Arabidopsis thaliana: one gene and its partner. The protein of the gene in region 1 interacts with the protein of each later gene in a pairwise test. Each region holds a gene or a part of one and is shown on either strand. Other genes may lie near its edges.

The links. The genes of interacting proteins can lie anywhere in the genome.
Region 2: the proteins of OFP8 (region 1) and AT1G11510 interact in binary tests that used the Arabidopsis thaliana proteins (3 or more experiments, as listed by UniProt).

The regions. Positions count from the first base shown.
Region 1 is NC_003076.8:6,636,192-6,642,264, reverse strand, and holds OFP8 (ovate family protein 8), read left to right. Parts: upstream 1-1,856; 5' UTR 1,857-1,967; coding exon 1,968-2,633; 3' UTR 2,634-2,810; downstream 2,811-6,073. Other genes in the region: S1P (SITE-1 protease), read left to right, coding at 62-147; AT5G19640 (Major facilitator superfamily protein), read right to left, coding at 3,675-4,485, 4,614-5,421, 5,505-5,667, 5,758-5,805. UniProt on the Arabidopsis thaliana protein: Transcriptional repressor that regulates multiple aspects of plant growth and development through the regulation of BEL1-LIKE (BLH) and KNOX TALE (KNAT) homeodomain transcription factors.
Region 2 is NC_003070.9:3,870,044-3,876,128, reverse strand, and holds AT1G11510 (DNA-binding storekeeper protein-related transcriptional regulator), read left to right. Parts: upstream 1-3,199; 5' UTR 3,200-3,292; coding exon 3,293-4,351; 3' UTR 4,352-4,406; downstream 4,407-6,085. Other genes in the region: AT1G11540 (Sulfite exporter TauE/SafE family protein), read left to right, coding at 1-13, 109-249, 345-653; CXXS1 (C-terminal cysteine residue is changed to a serine 1), read right to left, coding at 818-973, 1,135-1,257, 1,534-1,611; AT1G11520 (pliceosome associated protein-like protein), read right to left, coding at 2,510-3,100; AT1G11500 (transmembrane protein, putative (DUF1218)), read right to left, coding at 4,559-4,787, 4,885-5,111, 5,198-5,311; AT1G11490 (zinc finger (C2H2 type) family protein), read left to right, coding at 6,064-6,085.

The DNA.
Region 1 (6,073 bases):
ATGATCAGTATGATTCTTGTTTCCAAAGTAGGTCATCAAACTTTTTCGGGTTGTGTTGTAGGAGTTCTAGTGCTACTAAGCATATGGAGAATCAGGCAGAAGAGGGGTAGGCGGAGAAGAGCATCAGGGTCGAATCGATTAGCCTAGCATATAGCCGTGTCTGGGGTCCAGTCTTTTTTCTACTGTCATTTACACTGACCACAGAATGTAGTCTCACTTTTACTTGGAAAACTGGCAATTTTGTTTTAGGTAAATCATTTTTAAAATCATCATTCAAAGAGCTAAAATATGTAGGAAGAAATACTAATTTCTAAAAACATTAGCCTCCACTAAAAAAAACAATTTTATTTGAAATGTATCATGCATACCCAAATTAGTGTAAACTTTTTGAAATTCAAATAGGAAGAGGCAGATAATATGGTCCCCAACCTGCCACCACACCAAAACCTAACAATAACGTAAAAAAGGTAAATTAGATTAGCCAATAAGCATATACACTTCCAAACATCAGACCTATCATTCCTCCTCCTTTTTTCTTTATAAGAAATATTTCAATTGTCCTTAGGAATTTGCATTTAGGAAGTCTGCTCTAGCAGCTGAAAATTAATAAATCATGCTAAATTGACTATATAGGCTATAGTGGTCCTCCACTTGGCCAGGTTCTCTGTTTTCATTGGGGTTCGATCCCCATAGTGGGATTATATGCATGGGCTGCTCCACTGGAGCAGAGGAAGAAAATTCATTCTTTGTTTTTTTTTTTTTTTTTTTCATTTCTTCAACATGTTGAAAGAAACGATTGTGGAGAAGATTTATACATCAGTGTTCGACTTCGATGGTTACATTAATGAAAATTAGTTTTGAAAAATGTTAGTAGTCGGATGGACACAACAATACCTAATCTTTATAGACATTGCAGTTTTAAAACTTTACCTTGCGACGACTAAACATGCAATTTGATTAATGATCATATTTCAAGATTTTCAATATATATTCATTTTATTAAACAAAAGTCCATTAGGATAGATGGAATGTTTTCAGTTTCATCAAACTACCATTGATGATTTCAAAAAGTAAATCTTATTTGCAAGTTTTGGAAAATTTTGTTTATTGGTAAATGAATCTCTCCTTTTTCTTGTTACGAAAGTCAATGTTATCTATTTTATTTACTTGCAGATATAATCTGACTTTTGGTGATCATCGTGCACAACCTTTCTGTGTAATTGTCATTTTCAATCATTTAATTTTGAATTAAGTTGCCTTTTTGAAAAAACGTTCATTCTCCAAAACCGATGCACGAATTCCGGGGAGAAGTTTCAATTATGCATCGTTAAAAAAGAATTCAGAATTGTATCACCAAAACTTTGTAACGTTAACGTAAGATTGACTATAGTACTTAATTACTTCTGGTACTACAATGCAAATCCTTTAAGTTAACAATGATAAAATCTTCCAAGTAGAAGAAGTTTTAACAAACTCTACTTTTTAAGTTGCCTGATAATGAGGAATTCGAAAAGCTAAAGAAACTGACTGTTATATAAATAAAAAAAATCAAAGAGAAACTGACTTTTACTAGTCTACAAGATGACAAACATTACAAAACAGTTTCATGTCAAATTTTCAAAATTAAAATATTTTAAAATTAGTGAAAAACGAGCAAAGCAAGGTCAAGCGTCTCTACCTAAAATAAAAACAGAAAGAAAAAAGCAACAAGGAAATTCCAATGGTTAATTTTTGTGTCAGCAATTCGAATAGTTTAAGATAAAGACGACAGTGAAATGACAAAAGACATTGCAGAAAGAGTTAAACGTAAAAAGTTGTAATCATTAAATTATCATAAATATTACGAAAAATGAATGCTAGTACAAGAAAAAACACAACAGAGAATTTATCTCTCCTTCCCTCAAAAGTCTTATATCACACGACTTTAATACACCATCTTCATTAGTCTCTCTCGATATTCTCTAAACATGGAGAAGAGAATGAAGCTCCGGGTTTCAAGAATAGTCCGGTCATCTTTAAGCTCTTGCCGACCACGAGATCTATACGACGTCGTCGAGACTTGTGCTGTTACAAGTAAAGCAACGTCTTCCGAGAGGTTCTTCGTTACCAAAGCCAAAACCAAAACTCCATCACGACCAAAGAGTCATGCTTCTTCTTGCCCTCGTGCGTCACCTATATTCCCACCAAACCCTTTCTACGAAGAGAGCCGTTCATTTCGAGATTTAAGGAAGAAGGTCAAGACAAACAGGAAGCAAAGATCGCAGTTTGGTTCTGACCCTCTCTTTGCCTCACGTTTTAAGTCAACCGGGTCTTGGTACTGGTCTTGTAGTGAGGAAGAAGACGAAGGAGACAAAGAAGAAAGTGAAGATGATGATTCTGATACTCTCTTTTCTTCTAGAAGCTTCTCCTCGGACTCTTCAAAGGCGGAGAGTTTTGCGGTGGTGAAGAAGTCAAAGGATCCATATGAAGATTTCAGGACGTCAATGGTGGAGATGATTGTTGAGAGACAGATATTTGCACCGGCTGAGTTACAACAGCTTCTTCAGTGTTTTTTGTCGTTAAACTCTCGTCAACACCACAAAGTTATTGTCCAAGTGTTCTTAGAAATTTATGCCACCTTGTTCTCTCCCTAATTTCTATATCTACTTTTTAACATCTTTTGCTAAAATGTACTATTTTGAGTCTTGAATCTTGCTTTAGTGGTTGGTTCTTTTTTTCGACTAGATTCTTTTGTTTTCAGATTATCTTTGTCTTAGCCTTTCTCTGTATTTTGATTTTCATGAACCAAATTGAGTTACTTTACAAGAAAACGGTAGGCCTTAAAAACAGACAGCGACATACCATTTAAAGCATTGAACACTTTATCAAGACCTAAAGAATTTTCTGCATATATTGTTGTGTACAGTTTATTAAAAAAAACAATATATAAACTAGACATAGATAAGAAAATTCAAACTTTTTAAATAGATTGAATACACATCATTTTTTTCTCATAGATATATATCATGAGTATCAAAATTAAATTTATTACAAAGAAATATATATTTATATAAGAAATCAATACTGTATCTTATAAATCACAAGTCCCTTTACCAATAGTATTGTGAAATGTGTCCATTCACAAAACAAAATTAATAAGAAAAACAAGTTTCTCTAAAATGTGACGAAACAACGGTTATTTTTTTAAAATAAATCCAAGTTTTTCCACGAGCCATATTTATAGGAGCATGAATTTTAAAAACAAAATAGAAAAATACAGTTATTTGTCTTTTTAAAAAAACTTCTATTGCGACATAACTTCTGTGCAAGATAGTACAGTATTTAATTTTTAGTTGAAAGCTTGACAAAAAAATGTCACATTAGCTTTAATCATATTGGCTAACATTGCCATTCATAGACACAAGATTTTCATTGTTATTAATCTTATAAAACTATTGAAGATAACAAAACATGTTATTCAAACGACTAGCTTTTTTACTAACGCAAAGGAATCGGAAGATTTTTTAGCAACTACCTACTTATTATGCTCTGCTTTAAGTATCCCTACCGAGCAATTGAAAATTTCTAGAAACTAACAAAAAGATCGTCTTCTACGGTTCTACCAATAAAAGAGAAACATCTCAAAAGATGACTTGCGGCTAAAACTTAAAATCTAAAGAGAAAAAGAAAAAAAATCAAACTTGTTCCAACTCAGAAACGGTCTTCTTCAGACTACCACCAGAACCGCCCTTGATACTATCTTCATCATGACTTATGGGTTGGTACCACTTTGCAAATATCAAATAAACCACAAAATCGATAGCTGCTAACGCGGCAATCAGAAAATAAAACCGATCCATATGACCTTCGTTGAGATTTTCCGGTATCCACCCGGGGCTATTCTCACCTCTTTTGGTTATGGCCATAACAATATTAACCATCAAACTGCTCACGTAGTTACCTAAAGCCATCGAAGCCATACACAACGAGCTTCCTAAGTTCTTTAACCCGTCTGGTGCTTGTCCGTTGAAGAACTCTAACTGTCCAACGTACATGAACACCTCACTTGCTCCCACAAGCACGTACTGTGGAATTTGCCATAAAATGGTGAGCTCACTCTCCTTTTGCCCCGGGACTACTCGTTTCAGCCGTTGGATCTCTGTTAATCCTGCAGCTACCATTGCCATTATCCCTATGATCAGCCCTATCCCCATCCGCATAAGTTCCGTGGGTCTCACGTATGGAAATATGATGTGGCGGTAGATTCCTGTTGATACAAAGACGCTGAATATGTCGAAGACCGACATGCTCGCTGCGGGGATGTGGAATTTCCCTACGTATGCATTCATCACATCACCTTGCTCCACAAACAATGACGCCATTTGTGTGAAGATCACTGAGTAGATTATAGTGCATAGCCATATTGGAAGCAACTTCATCACACATTTTGCCTCCTCTACTTGAGTTACACTGCACAACCTCCATGCATTGCTCCTTGTCCCATTCCTGGATACAGTCATACCGAAATTTCATAAGTTAAAAGATGACAACTATATGAAGTATATATTTGGAATAAAACTTGCATGATAACAAAATGAAAACGAATAATATAATGTTGTTTATATATGGTTTACCTATCATTCTCTGTAATCACTGCTGCTCTATCCAAGAAGAGAAATTTGGTACTATGAAATATCTTTCGACTTCCTTTAATGGCGGATTCAGGACCTTCAAGTTCGTACAACTCATGCGGATCTCCTGGTCGAACAACACTCCACTTACGAGCAGTGGCCACAAATACTTGCGCCACACGAGGCAACGGGTTACCACACGGCTTGACATAACGATATTGTCTTGTTGGGGCCAAAAAAGCCACCAATGCGACAATAGCGGAGCCTAGTGACACCAAGAAACCTTCAGTCCACAACCCTTTATCCTCAAAATAAACAAGGATTGTGTTTGAAAAGAGAGCTCCCACGTTGAGAGCAAAGTAGAAGTAGCTGAAAAACGCAGCTTTGGAGTTTTTATCATCATCAAGCTGGTCTGCACCGAAAGTAGCCAGCGTTGGCTGGTGGCCTCCGTATCCAAAAGCTACCAAATATACAGATAGATAAAAGATAGCAACTCCGAGGGAAGAGGGAGGGTTGCATTCAAGGTCCCCATCGCCACATCCTCGAGGTTTAATCAAGAAAAACCAAGAGACAAAAGAGAGGAGGCCAACACCGATAACGAAGATGACTTGGAATATCGTGCAAGTCAAGTAACGACCCCAATAGGAGTCACTAAGAAATGCCCCAACGAGAGAGAACATGTAAACTGTTCCTGTCCACTTGCTTACATTGTTCGCAGCTTCTGCATTACCTTGTCCCATAACACGTGTTAGGAACAACACCAAGTTTACTCCCACACCAAAGAAGGCCAATGTAGCTAACCCTTGATTTACTGTTCAGATAATGATGAATTATGTAAGATTATTTGAACTTATATACAAAATCTTTAATTTTAGTATTAATTATATATCATACCTAGCAAAATGATTGCGTTTGTCCAGCCACCATTCTTCTTCTCCTCTTTCTTCATCATCTTTTTCTGAAGGTCAGAATCGTTGGACATAAGAGACACCACACTTTGATCATCTTGAACCTCTACCACTTCACGAACTTCCAAATTTTCTGCTCTCTCCCGCTCCTTGCAATAATTAATGTCTCATTCAAATTAAATTTCCACAAACTATTACTTATTTATATTCGTTAAAGTCATAAAGGTTTGTTTACATACATTTAGCGGAGCAACGTTGCCATTATTTCTCGGATCCATAGCGGCCATTTTAGGGATCTGTACGAATTTTAGATTGAATTAGGTTTTAGTGAAGAACGTACACGTACGTGTATATATTAACGACTAAACTTGATATAGTATTCATATATGATGCAAGAAGTCTTGTTCTATATGTTTAAGCGTTTTAAGCCTGCCAATTTCCAAATTCATCACTAACAAAAGTAGTAGAAAATCAATAAAAATTGTACTAATTTAAAAGTAGATATGAATATATGGGGTAAGCAAAAATTTGTTCATTTCTAAAACAATTCCATGT
Region 2 (6,085 bases), on another chromosome or scaffold:
AAACTCTGAACAGGTCCAATACATACTACTTGCTGTTGATTAAATTAGCTTTTCTGTTGGTCAAAAGTCAACAGGTTTGATGAATATGAAACTGAAATTACTCCACAGGAGACTGGAGTTGGAGGAAGACAAAACAAGTTGATGCTCCCTGTAATGGCTCTCTTGGCTGGAGTTTTGGGTGGCCTCTTTGGTATTGGTGGTGGAATGCTCATTAGTCCTCTTCTTCTCCAAATCGGTATTGCTCCAGAGGTACGTTCTTGAGTCTTGTTCTCTAGCAGCATCAGAACCAAAGTTTTACCAAAACAAGCAATTGGATTCTTAAGTTAATCGTGCTCTCTCTACAGGTAACTGCAGCTACATGTTCGTTCATGGTTTTGTTTTCTTCATCAATGTCTGCAATCCAGTACCTACTACTAGGCATGGAACATGCTGGAACCGCTGCGATATTTGCTCTGGTCTGTTTCGTGGCATCACTGGTTGGACTAATGGTGGTTAAGAAGGTTATAGCCAAGTATGGGAGGGCTTCGATCATTGTGTTTGCAGTTGGTATCGTCATGGCACTTAGCACTGTACTGATGACAACCCATGGAGCTTTTAATGTTTGGAATGATTTTGTCTCTGGTCGCTACATGGGTTTCAAATTACCCTGTTAAGAACCAAAATTAAATAAATCCAGTTCTTGTTTATAACAGAACTTGCTTTTATAAAAATTTACACTTACACTTGATATTTCACACAAACCAAATACCAAAGTTACAAACTAATTACACTTCACACAAACTTTATTTAGTATTCTGCTCGTATCTATAAATCTCTCTTAAGCAATATGAACAACACGTGAGGACTGAACGAAACCATCGACCCGTTTCTTAATCTCATCAGGGTTTGCGCCCACGAGTTTGTCCATCGCATTACCATCCTTCAAGAACAAGAAAGTTGGCATCGCCTTTACCTCTAGTTGACTTGCCACTTCCTGACCAATCCAACATAGTAAAAAACAAAGAAAAACCATTAATCATCTACCAATTTAGCAACTGTTTAAATCTTTTACTCTTGATGGTTAAACACTTCTCTTCAACAAAGAAGCCAAAGTAGAAAGACATATCAAGTAGAGAGACACATAAGTAGTTTTACCTTAACTTCATCAACATCAACTATTAGAAACAGAGCATCCTTATAGTTAAACGCAAGCTCTTCGAAGAAGGAGTTCATAAACACAGAAGGAATACACCATAATGCAGTGAAATGAGCCACAATCTGCAAAAAACCATAAAGGAACAACCGTTCTTGGTAATTCATATAAACAAACAAGACAGAGCCATTCATTCACAATCCTGAACATTAATATTCATGGTTCATTCTCACTAACTTCATATCTTAAAGAGTAACACAATTTGGATTTAACCAATTGTAAATCAAATTCTCCATAAAACTCTAATCCTAAGATCTTGATTCTTTCATAGGTCTTGGATCTAAATCAGATTTCATTTTGGCTACTAGAAAACGAAAGTGATAAGAGGAAGAGAGACTTACGGGACAATTCTGATTCTTGGCTTGACTCACATAGAAATTCCATGACTCTGCAGAATCGATTTTAACAACTCTTGCCATCTCTTGGAGCTTCCTTTTTTTCTAAATCTCAAACAAGATTTGGTGATTCAGTGTTTATCTACTTGCATGATGGGACCGAGTGGACAAAAACTATGTCTGAGTCATACACAAAAAGTGTGGCCAGTTATCTTTCAACGAGTTACGAAATAATTTATTAATTTCTAAGATATTTAAGAATAAGTGTTGACCAAGAAAGCTATATTAAAAAGAGAACCAAAAAGAAAATAGATATTTTTTTTATGACTATATGCAATGTTAATGTTTAGAGGAATTTCATTGGTGGTTTCTAAATATAAGTTTCTTAACATTAAAACAACAAAAATAATATTATTTAATTATGTGGGTTTCTTAAATATTTAGAAATTCTCTCCAAAATTTCTTATATAAAGTATTTTGGAGATGGTTTCTTCATTAATCAAAAAACCCACACATTTTTTTATAATAAAACTTATCTCTCTAAAATAAGAAACTTAAGTTTAGAAACCATTGATGGGGTTTGAATCCCCTTACAAGTCAGAATAATAAGGGGATTGAATTAACTTACATACTGCAGAAAGACCAAATCCTTCAAAATGTAAATATTAGGTTTACACAATGATGCAATCACCTATTTAAAAATTTACATCATTGGTGGTCTAACATTTTTTTTTTTTTTTAATAAGCATTAAGACTAAAAACTCAAGATCTCTTACTCAAGACTAATAATTCTGGAACATGAATCTCTTTCTATGTCTCATGTCCAGAATCTAAAATCTTTTTTTTTTTGTCTCTTCCATAACGCACCTCAGAAGTTGAAATCTTTCTTTTTCTTCTCTTCCTTGCCATGCATTTTCCTCTTCCTACTATTCTGCTACACATGCTCGACGACCATGTCACTCAAGTCCACTGGCTTATTGCGCTATTTCTCCTCTTCTCTTGCCTCCTCATACTGTAAAACATTTCCCATAGCATCCAGCTCTTCTGGCTGTAAACTGAAATCCACTCTATCTGTCTTTTGCCCTCTCAGCAAATCAACCCTTTTGGTTCCCGTCTTGTCCTGAGTACCAGTCTTAATAACGTATGTGTGTGTAGTTCTCAGCAATGTTCCAGGAGCAACAACACTCTCTCCCTTTTCTTCAAGTACCTGGTATAGAGCCCTATCAGGTTCCTTTCTCTGTTCCTTACGAAGTTCAATTGCATCCGGTGTCTCAATACCAGTAGGAGTGCTTGACAGAGATTTTGACACGTCCATTGCATCTACATCGGCCTGAGATGCTTTGTTCTTCTTCTTCCGCTTCCGTCTGCGGCGGCGACGGTCGATCTCACGAGATTTCTTGGGAAGGACGCTATCAACGTGTGCGACGATTGAATGAGCGGTCATATTCGGGTGTTGTTGTGAAAAGAGAGATCTAACATTTATTTGTAAGAGATAAAATATAGGGAAATAAAATTGGTCAATATAGCTAATTTCCAAATTTTTAAGGAAGGAAATCGGAAATCTAAACGTCATGCAAAAAAAGAGGAAAAACAATAAATAATTTTATACGTTTTCCAATAATTTTTTGATTATTTATTTTTGGAAAACAGAGAGACACTTTGTTCAATATATATAAACCCTAAGAACGAAGTGGTGAAGGCAGCAAAGCAAAAATCTCAATTTCAACCTCTTAAGTCTCTCCAAAGTCCCATAAACCCTAAAACAATGTCGAGACGTTTCAATCCGTTAGAAGATCCGCCGAGTGCTTCTTCAAGCGACGAAGAAGGTAAAGAAATCGCACGAAACTCTTCTTCGGATGATGAAGATGACGTTTCCTCTGAAAACCCATCACCTTTGAAGACGACTCTCGACGCCGTTTCCGATTCCGAATCTGGTTCGGATGAAGAAACCGATTCAGACTCTGAACTCGAGAAGAAGAAAGATCAAGTTGTGACGAATCCTGTGGATGTGAAGAGGGCTAAGAAGGTGAAAACCTCCGAGAAATCTGGGGCTAAACGTTCTCTTGAAGTGGATGAAGCAGCAGTGTCTATGGATGTGAAGAGGGCTAAGAAGGTTTCAGGGGAAGAGGAGAAGAAGAAGAGTGGTGGCGGAGGAGAAGAGACGAAGAAAACTTATTTCCAGCGACTTTGGACTGAAGATGATGAGATTGTGGTTTTACAAGGTCTGATTGATGACAAAAAAGATACAGGGGTAAGTAATACGAATAAGGTTTATGAGTTGGTGAAAAAATCTATTAGTTTTGATGTTAGTAAGAATCAGCTTATGGAAAAGCTTAGGGCTTTAAAGAAGAAGTATGAGAACAATCTTGGTAAAGCCAAGGATGGTGTTGAACCTACTTTCGTCAAACCTCATGATCGCAAGGCTTTTGAATTGTCTAAGTTAGTTTGGGGAGGTATTAGAATGGCTCTTGCATCTGGTATGAAATCTAATGAGAAGTCGAAGAAGAGTAGTAAGTTTGAGTCTGTGAAGCATGAACTTGATTCTTCTTTGCCCAACAGTAAAAACAACTGTGAAGATGAGGTGATGGATGAAGGAGAAGTCTCTTTTACAAAGTCTTCTCTTGTTAGATCGATAGTGGGTCTTGGCATGGATGAACTTACTGCTCAACAAGGATTGAGTAAGCTTGCCTCAAAGGATATGAAGAGATTTTACGAGCAGTGGAAAGCGATGCAGGCTAGGGAATTTGAGTTCTTTTTGCAGAAGCATGGTTTTCTTTTTGAAGTGCTATCAAAGATATCTGAAGCATTTGGATCAAACGCTTAGATATATTTATGGTTTTTGTTTTTTTGGTTCTGCCTCTTTTGTTTAGAACTCTTGGCTTTTTTATATTATATTTTAGTTTTCTATTGATTCTTGAAAGAGTTTATTTTGGAATATTGCGGATTTATCAAAATGGAAGGAAGCTTTTTTGAAGCAATTTAAGTTTATTTACAGATGAAACATTTTGTGTATCTTGATGAAGAAGACGTGTTATGCGCGGCTTCTATTTGCTAGATTTTCTTGTTGCGCATTCTCTTTGTCTTCTTTTTTAGCAGCAATTGCTGAAACATAATATGCTGAAGTCACCACTCCATGTCCTAGACAAAATATGCCTCCAATAAGAAAAAACCAACGATGTGGCAAGCTGCAGAGTCGATTCGTTCTCGAGTTGGCTAATGTTCCTATCATTAGCGTTGAGTAGCTGACAACAAAAAAGATCCTAAGACAAACAAAGGTATGTCAAAAACAAAAACAGCTGACATAATTCAAATTTGTCTTTTGAATGAAATCCAAAAACCTATTATCTTTTCCATTACCAGGAGAGAACAAGGAAAGCCACAGCGAGTATCTTGTTCGCCGTTGCTCTTTTGAAATCTTGCTTAGAGCGAATGTAAGTGCAGCCTCCAAGCACATTAGCTAGGACATGGACAATAAACAGAAGCACCATTGCAGCTACTCCCTCAGCAAATGCTCCATCGCTGGGGCTTCTTCGACATCCAGAACCTGAATGTCTTGAATGTTGTTGATGATGATGATGAGGTGCCTGAAGGATAAACATCAAATACAAGAAAAGATTATTGGTAGTTAAAATAAAATAAACTACATTTCACTCTTAATATAAAACAGAACCTTGCTTTGAGCAATCTCGGCTTCGATCCCGAGGACTGTAGCTGTAATGTCTGCACATATGATCACAACAGAAACCAAGAACCCAAGTTCACTTTCCATTTTTCCTTGATTCATAATAAAAACCTTATATTTTTATTTGATTACTGTATTTATTTCAATTGTTCTATGAAAGTTTAAGGAAGAGGAAAATAATAAGGAAACAGCATCAGATTACTTTCCTAAGCTTGCCTCTCACTGCAAGACAAAAGAATACAGATTCGGTTTTGGTCTTTCCAAGTAAGTAAAGTTTCATTCCTTTTCTATATAATGACATTAGTTTGGATGCTTTTCTTGTAAACTGGATATAGTAGTAAATAATTCTACTACAAAGATATAATTTCATATTGAATTAAGAGGTTGATCACATGTTTGACTTTTTTACTTTAAAAATGTCAAAGCTCAATAGAGGCAGCATGTGGCGTTATACTCTGTTTTGGAACGTGAAGAGAGGTGAAAATTATTATTCCCATATCTTTTTTTCTTTCTGTAATCATATTATGCTAAAAATTATTATAATTTTCCAGGTTGTAATTGGAAAAGAATCATACAGGGTTAAGATTTGATCATTTTTTTTTAACATAAACGTCAAATTTTAGTTGTAATTTTCTATTTCTAAAAAAGATTTTTTAGTTTGTTCTTTCATGGTGTGACATGATATCATACGTTTATGGAAATCTTCAGTCTCATTTTGGAAACAGTTTGTGTAGATATGGTGAAGCAGGAACAAACAGAAACAGAGCTGTGTCCGAATCAAAGCCAAATCTTCATAGAATATCTTTATAATTCACATCTCTCCCAGTGAATCCAAAGACGGATCTTGAACAAACATGCGTGGGGTTTGGCTTTATC